Linked DNA regions of Struthio camelus. The protein of the gene in region 1 purifies or fractionates together with the protein of each later gene. This does not show direct contact. Links are inferred from orthologs where the notes say so. Each region holds a gene or a part of one and is shown in the gene's direction. Other genes may lie near its edges. The genes, in order: SDF2 and DNAJB11.

The links.
Region 2: the proteins of SDF2 (region 1) and DNAJB11 purify together in Homo sapiens (affinity purification with mass spectrometry; 3 studies listed by BioGRID and IntAct, counting the BioPlex papers as one, with this or other methods). This does not show direct contact. The link is inferred for Struthio camelus from reciprocal best matches to the Homo sapiens genes SDF2 and DNAJB11.

Annotation. Positions count from the first base shown.
Region 1 is NC_090957.1:16,588,594-16,592,160, reverse strand, and holds SDF2 (stromal cell-derived factor 2), read left to right. Parts: upstream 1-952; 5' UTR 953-986; coding exon 987-1,155; intron 1,156-1,272; coding exon 1,273-1,469; intron 1,470-2,148; coding exon 2,149-2,436; 3' UTR 2,437-2,823; downstream 2,824-3,567. Other genes in the region: BLTP2 (bridge-like lipid transfer protein family member 2), read left to right, coding at 3,174-3,241.
Region 2 is NC_090950.1:4,131,009-4,134,910, reverse strand, and holds the start of DNAJB11 (dnaJ homolog subfamily B member 11), read left to right. Parts: upstream 1-1,451; 5' UTR 1,452-1,566; coding exon 1,567-1,748; intron 1,749-1,986; coding exon 1,987-2,143; intron 2,144-3,671; coding exon 3,672-3,769; intron 3,770-3,902. Other genes in the region: TBCCD1 (TBCC domain-containing protein 1), read right to left, coding at 509-658, 776-1,132. UniProt on the Homo sapiens protein: As a co-chaperone for HSPA5 it is required for proper folding, trafficking or degradation of proteins.

The DNA of each region.
Region 1 (3,567 bases):
CCCCATAGCTAGGAAGCGGGGAGAGGTCCCTGCTGCCTTCACCCACAGCTGGACACCAGCAGGGAAGCCACCATCATGACCCCCTGAGTGGGATGTGTAGGGAAGTGTAGGGGTGTGTGGCAGGGGGTCCCCAGCCTTTCCTCCATAACCAAGGACCAGAGTGGGGGTTCATCACCCCCAATCCACAACCAAGGAGACTCCTGCTGCCTTCACCCTCTCCCCCAAAGGGGGATTTAGGGAGGAGACTCCCCACCCTCACCACAACTGGAAACCAGAGGAGGGGGGTGACCCCACTGCCTTTGCCCCATAAGCAGGGCAGAGGAAACCCCCACCCCTGCTCCACAAGCAGGGACAAGGGGGGGTCCCCAGGGCCTGAGCACGGGGAGATCCCCACTGCCTTCGCCCCACAGCCGGGGACAGGGATGGGCATCCACCGCCCCCACTCTACAAGCGGGGGCCAAACAGGTCCCGGTTGCTCTTACCCCACAACTGGGGGGGGGGATGGGCGGTTGCCTCCCTCCCCCCAGCAAGGACCGGGGGAGGAGCCCCTCTACCTTCGCCCCACAACTGGGGTAGGTCGGTCCCGGCTGCCTTCACCCCACAACCGGCGACCGAGGGAGCTTCCCCCCACCCCGGCCGCCGCCCCAAAGGCGGCACCAGCCACAGGCCCCGGGGCGGCCGGAGGAGGCCTCGGCGAGGCCCCGCCGTCAACCCGGCAACCGCCCCCTTCCAGCCCGTACCGGAGCGGCGAGGGGGGGCCGCAGGCCAGCCAAGCGTCCCCCGTCCCCGGCTCCCCGCCGCCTCCTTACCCGCCGCCGCCGCCGCCCGCACTGGCGCCGAGGGAAAATGGAGGCCTCCGCTGCGGCCGAGAGGCAGCCAGAGGGGGGCGGAGCAGACGAGCGCGACCTCCGGCCGGCCGGAGCGGCGTCGCGTTACGTCACGTCCGCTTCCGGCGGCGGCGGCGGCGGGGCGGCAGGGCGGCGAGGATGCGGGCGGCGCGGCGGTTGCTGGCGCTGGTGCTGGTGCTGGGCGCGGCGGCGGCGGCGGCGCGCGGCGGCTCCGCCCCCGGGCCCGTCACCTGCGGCTCCGTAGTGAAGCTGCTCAACGTGCGCCACAACGTCCGCCTCCACTCGCACGACGTGCGCTACGGATCCGGTAACGCCCCTCCCCCACCTTCACCGGGAGGGCCTGGCCCTTCCCGGCAGCCCCCGCGGCGGAGCCTGGCTCCGGTTCCGGTCCCGGTCGGCGCTGACCCGCCGTTCCCCTCCGCAGGCAGCGGGCAGCAGTCGGTGACCGGCGTGTCGGCGGCGGACGACGGCAACAGCTACTGGCGGGTGCGGGGCCGCACGGCGGCGGCGTGCGAGCGGGGCGCGCCGGTGCGCTGCGGCCAGGCCATCCGCCTCACGCACGTCGGCACCGGCCGCAACCTGCACAGCCACCGCTTCACCTCGCCGCTCTCCGGCAACCAGGTGCGGCCCAGGTGCGGCCGCGTCCCGCCTCCACCGGCGCCCCTCTGGGTCTGGGACCGGAGGGATCGGGGTGGGGGGGGATCCCTGCCGTGGCACCGGGCGGCCCCGGGAGCCCTGGGGCTAGACCCCTTCCCCACCGGGGGGAGGGGGGATCCCTGCCATGATACCGGGAGCCCTGGGGCCAGACCCTTTCCCCACCGGGGCGGGGGGGGGGGGATCCGTGCTGTGACACCGGGAGCCCTGGGGCCAGACCCCTTCCCTCCAGGAGGGGAATCCCTGCCGTGACACCGGGTGCAGCCCGGCTCTGCGGTCATGGAGGGACACGGCAGGAGGAGCGACAGCAGCCCAGGCATCCGCAGCAGCCGTCCCCTGCCGTGACCACGCAGCGGGTCCCCGTGCTGGGCTGGGGATCCCCTAAAACATGGGGACGGGGGCCACGCCGGGTCTCCGAGTCCCCGGTTCCGCCGTGCTCCGGCTGTGCGAGCCACGGCAGGGAGGCGCAAACCTGTGCTCTGAACCTCTGCAGAGATCCCCGCTGACCTCTCCGCTCAGCATTACACAGGGTGCTTTTTATTTTTAGGCGAATACACAGTCAATGCCAATAATGGGCGTTTTTTCACCGTCCCTGTGGGGGCAGCGCGGGCCAAGGCCACCCGCCTGACAGCTGCCCTCGTTGCAGGAGGTGAGCGCCTTCGGGGAGGACGGCGAGGGCGACTACCTGGACGACTGGACCGTGGTGTGCAGTGGGACCTACTGGGCGCGGGACAGCGAGGTGCGCTTCAAGCACACCTCCACCGACGTCTTCCTCTCCGTGACAGGGGAGCAGTACGGGCGGCCCATCCACGGCCAGAAGGAGGTGCACGGCATGGCCTCCCCCAGCCAGAATAACTACTGGAAGGTCATGGAGGGCATCTTCATGCAACCCAGCGAGCTGCTGAAGGTGCAGCAGTATCACGCCGAGCTGTGACAGACTGGGGTGGAGCCTCCGGGGCTCTGCTGCGTGGTGTCGGGGACCGCCGAACCCCGGATGTCCCTTGGGATGGGCACAAGCCCTGTCCAGGCTGGGCACAGGCCACAGAGCAGTGCTCAGCGCCCCTCGGTTATTCGGTCTTTGTAACTTGTGACTGTCTGCGATGCCGGGTTCTGCCCCTTGCCGCGGGGCTCGGCGGTCACTGGTCCCCGGCGGAGGCGCTGAGACGAACGGGAACGCGAGAGAAGAGGACCTGCTGAACGCCGCGCGTTCCAACAGCTTGGCGCCGGCCTGTTGTCACCACGCGACCCCTCTGTAGCTCCCCGCTCTCGGTACGGGGAGGCTCCGCGCGGGTTTGGGACCATAAAGAAATTGAACTCTTCAGGGCTGTGCGGTCGTTTGTGTGCGTGCCCTGGCTGCGCGGGGAGCACCCCTGCCCTCTCCGGAGCGTCCCGGCCCGTTCCGGAGCACCCCTTGCCTGCACCGGGGCTCCGGAGCATCCCCTGCCCGCCGCGGGCTGCCGGCGGCGCTGCGCAGCGCCGAGCACCGCGTGGGGCGCTGCCGCTCACTCCGCGCTAGCGCCGCTCGGCCGCGCCGCCCTGCCCGGCCCCGCCCCTCGCCTCCCAGCGGCCACTCCGGGTGCGCGGGCGGTCGGCCCCGCAGGGCGGCTCGGCGCCCGGTTACCGGACGGCGGGGAGCGGCGGCGCCGGGCCGGGCCGAGGCGGGGGGCAGCCATGTCGCCGCTGCCCGCCGCGCTGCTCGGCCTCGCCGTCGTGGCGCTGCTCGCTGGGCTGCTGGCGCGGTCAGGGCCCGCGGGCTGAGCGGGGCGGCGGCGGGTTGGGGCGGCGGGGCCGGGAAGGGGCTCAGAGCGGGGCCTGGGGGGGGGCCCTAGGGCTGGGGCTGGGGGTGGCGGGAGTGGGAAGGGGCTCACGGCGGTTTGGGGGGGCTCTGGGGCTGGGTGTGGGGGTGTCATGAGTGGGAAGGGGCTCCTGGACAGTTGGGGGGGCCCTAGGGTTGGGTGTGGGGGGTGTCATGAGTGGGAAGGGGCTCCTGGACAGTTGGGGGGCCCTAGGGTTGGGTTTGAGGGTGTCATGAGTGGGAAGGGGCTCCTGGACAGTTGGGGGGGCC
Region 2 (3,902 bases), on another chromosome or scaffold:
TAGGAACACTTGATGTGGGACATCATCATCTTCACGTGACGGATCTACAGTTGACCAGCCACTCCATCTCTCTGCAATACAACTTAATGACATTTTCCTAAACACCGCTTTGGAATTCTAATAATTTAACGCAGATCGTGGGAAAGCAGCCTTCAACGTAAGAAAAGCCTCCTGCTTGGCTGGCTACACCCCTCTAACAGAAAAACCAAAGAAGCTGTTGCTGCTTAGAAGGAGAATTAGGAAGACTCAGAAAAAATTTTCAGTTAGTCTCAGACCACAGGAAATTTCAGCAGGCAAGTGTCACCGTTTCATAAGTTAAAGCGATAGAGAACATATCGGTTTCATCTCATTTACCGTGCTGAGACGTAGCTCAAATTTGACTTGCAGAAATGCTTCAGGCAGGGTACGCTCTCCCAGCAACAAACGGGATGCTCTTCAGCCCGCCTCCAGGGGAGGCGGCCGTTTTCTCACGGAGCAACCTCAGGAGACCCCCCACGCCCCCAAATACCTTATTTTGACTGGCAGACTTCCCAGTCAGGTCGGGAGACTTGGTCCTGGGGCTGGGCCACTCCTCGCCGATCAGGGACGTTCTCAGAGAAACCTTGTTCAGTTGCTGGATGTACAAAAACAGCAGGAACTGCAGGGTGTCTACTGACAACTACCCAAGGAGGAGGGGGGGAGGGAGAAACAAAACACAGGTTAAGAGGCGCTGCCCGTCACCCACGACCGCCCGGCCCGGCCCGGGGAGGGGGCTGGGAGAGGGGACCCCCCCTGCCTTGCTGCGCTGCCGCTCCAGCTGGTCGGCGCTGGCGCAGGCCGCCTCCGCCTCGGCCCGCTGGAGGCGGCGCGGCGGGTCGCGCCGGGCCAGGCTGTCGAAGAGCTCGAAGTAGAGCCAGGCCAGGCCGCGGCCCAGCTGCAGCTTCCCGCAGGCGATGTGGCGCCAGCGCGGCCAGGCCAGGCGCGGGAAGCAGCCGTCGGCGGCCCGCGCCCGAGCGTACGCCGCCATCTTGCGCAGGTAGTGGCGGCCCAGCTTGGCGGGCGGCGGCGCCCGCACGGCCCCCAGCAGGAACGGCTCCGTCTTCACCCACAGCCGCGCCGGGCCCGCCGCCGCCGCCGCCGCAGCCGCCTCCATGGCGGCCTCCCCCGTCAGGCGAGGCAAGGCGAGGCGCCGCCCAGAGCGCCCACCGCCCGGAGGACTGCGCGCGGCGCTCCGCCCTCTTCGCCGAGGAGCCGGCTGCCATTGGCGAGCCGAGCGGGCGCGGAGGCGGAACGAACGCCGCCACCTCTGATTGGTTACGGCCCTTCGCCGGCCTCGCTCTAGGCTTGGCAACTTCCGCCCGCGCCGACGCTCTGCCCTCCGGAGCTGCGATAGGGCAGGGGCGGCGTGACGTTGCCAGCCGCCATTGGGCCGGCCGGCCGGGCGCTGATGTCTTGGCAGCCGATTGGCCGGCGGCGCCGAGCCGGTGGTGAAGTGTGCGCGGCCGATAGGCCGGCGGCGCGCGGGGTGGGCGCGCTGTGCCGCGCTCCTATTGGCCAGCGGCCGTCGCCGGGCTCCGCTTCATATCTATGGTGAGCGGAGCGGGCGGCTGCGGTGCTGCGGGCCGCGGCCGGAGAGCGCCGCCTTCCCCCCCGGCTCCCAGCGGCTGCGGGCGGGCGCGCCGGCAGCCAGGCCGCGCTGCCATGTCCCCCGCCTCGCTCGGCCGCCTCTGCCTGCTGCTGCTCTGCGTGTGCGGCGAGGCCGCCGCCGGGTGAGTCCGCCGGGGCCGGGCCCGGCCCTCCCCGCTCCCCTCAGCGCAGGGCCCGCGCGCGCCCCCCCCCCCCACAACGCGGGCCTGTGCTCGCGCCCCCCCCCCCACGCGCTCCCCCCCCCACGCGCGGCTCTGTGCGCATGCGCCCTCCCCCGCCGGGGCGACCGGCCCTGGGGCGGCGGCGCTGACGGGTCCCCCCCGCTCTGCCCCGTTTCCCCCCCCCCCCCGCCCCCACCAGGAGGGACTTCTACAAGATCCTGGGGGTGTCCCGCGGCGCCTCCATCAAGGACATCAAGAAGGCCTACCGGAAACTGGCGCTGCAGCTGCATCCCGACAGGAACCCCGACGACCCCCGGGCGCAGGAGAAGTTCCAGGACCTGGGCGCTGCCTACGAGGTGAGCCCGGGTGCCCCCCCGCCGCCCTGCCCAGCGGGATGCTCCCCAGGCCTGCTGTAGCTGCTGCAAAAGGGAGGGGCGAGAGGCAAGGTGCAGTCGCGTGTGCTCTAGATGGCTCGAGATAACCTTAATACGCCCTCCCGAGGGCCTTCCCGGACAGGTGGGGTTCACGGGGAAGCAAGCTCCAGGCGTGAAGCCTCTTATGGCCAACAGGCTCTCTGCTGTGGTTTCCTCTCCATAAGATTCAGAGGAACGAGAAAGAACTGAGCCCATCTTACACCTTCAAGGAGGGCTTCCTAGGAAGCGCTAGTACCTGGTGCGATCCCTCCTCCTTCTCCTATTACAAAATGGTATCAAGTCCCAGATGCTGCATCTAATAAAGGACAAAGGCAGAGAAGCTGCCAGTGTGGTGAGAGAACTTACTTTGTTGGAGGAAAGCATACAAAAGCCATAGCTCGCTTAACCAGAGGAAAACAAGGGCAGAAAGTTCAAGTTCTTTGTTTACCCCACACTAAACCATAAATGTTAAGGACGAAAGAAAGCTGCCTCAGCTGGAAGCACTGGCACAGGAACAATCTGTCTATATGTATAGATGGGCTGTGAGTAAATTTTGGCTCATGTGAGATGAAAGGTTTTGAGCTTGCCTTTTACTAGGCATGTTAAAGTTGGGAAAATAATTGTTATGGTAGGGAATCAAATGTGTTAGGAACTTTCTCGTTTCTGTGATAATTTGATAATGTAATATTCTCTTAACTTTAGGTATTAATGCATTACATAAACCATCACCCTTTAGCTAGCAGAGTTGCTTCTTCCCTTGTTTCTGCTCTTCGCCAGCTTTCTGGAAGCTGGCCTGACAGTTTTAGTCTTCCAAAATATAATCAGCAGGTCAAGTCAGGGAGGAAAGGGAAGGAAGACTAAATCTGATCCAGGAACTTACGCATCTCGGGACGCACAGCAAAGACCACATACTGAGAAACGGTACCTGCATTGGGGTACTTAATTCTGTCTTAATACTGAAGTTACTTCTTGCTGACTTCTGCTCCCCTTTAGGAACGAGGGCCAGCGTTCTTGCTGTCGCAGAGTTACCATATTTGGCAGGTACAGCTTGGTGGGCAAACTTGCCATCGTTGTTCACAGTTATACAATACTCTTTGAAGAAATAGTCGTTTTGTATGTGCCTGAAGAACAAGAGTAGTATTACACAGCTTTCTGTGGAGTGTTCTGCTTCATAGGGCTGATTCGAATTATTATCCCCGTTTGATTCTTTTTCAAGTCACTATGGTAAACTCTGTACTGTTTGTATTTTGTGTGTTTTGCTTTTGCTGTTCCAATAAGCTAATTCTAGGTTTTAGCTACTAAATATTTAACTTTCCAGTCCACTTCAGCAAGCAAGTTCTAGCCAACACTTCTGTAATGTGCTACATGCTGCTGCTTGTCCTTCAGTTAAGAGAACTGGCAAGGTTCATCTCAAAGGCTTGTTTAAATAACCTGGTTCAGCTGTAGATGAGTGTCTTGTCCCTTTGCCCAGGTGCTGTCGGACGAGGAGAAGAGGAAGCAATATGATGCATATGGCGAAGAGGGATTGAAGGATGGGCACCAGAGTTCCCATGGAGACATCTTCTCACAGTAAGGAGGCTTTGTTCCTTTAGGCTATTGTGTAGTCAGAGCTCTAACTGTATGTTAAGGTCTTTGATCTTCTCCCTTTACCTCTCCAGGAGGGAGAGGGAGAGGCACTGATATCAAGTGGCAGCTGGGTTTT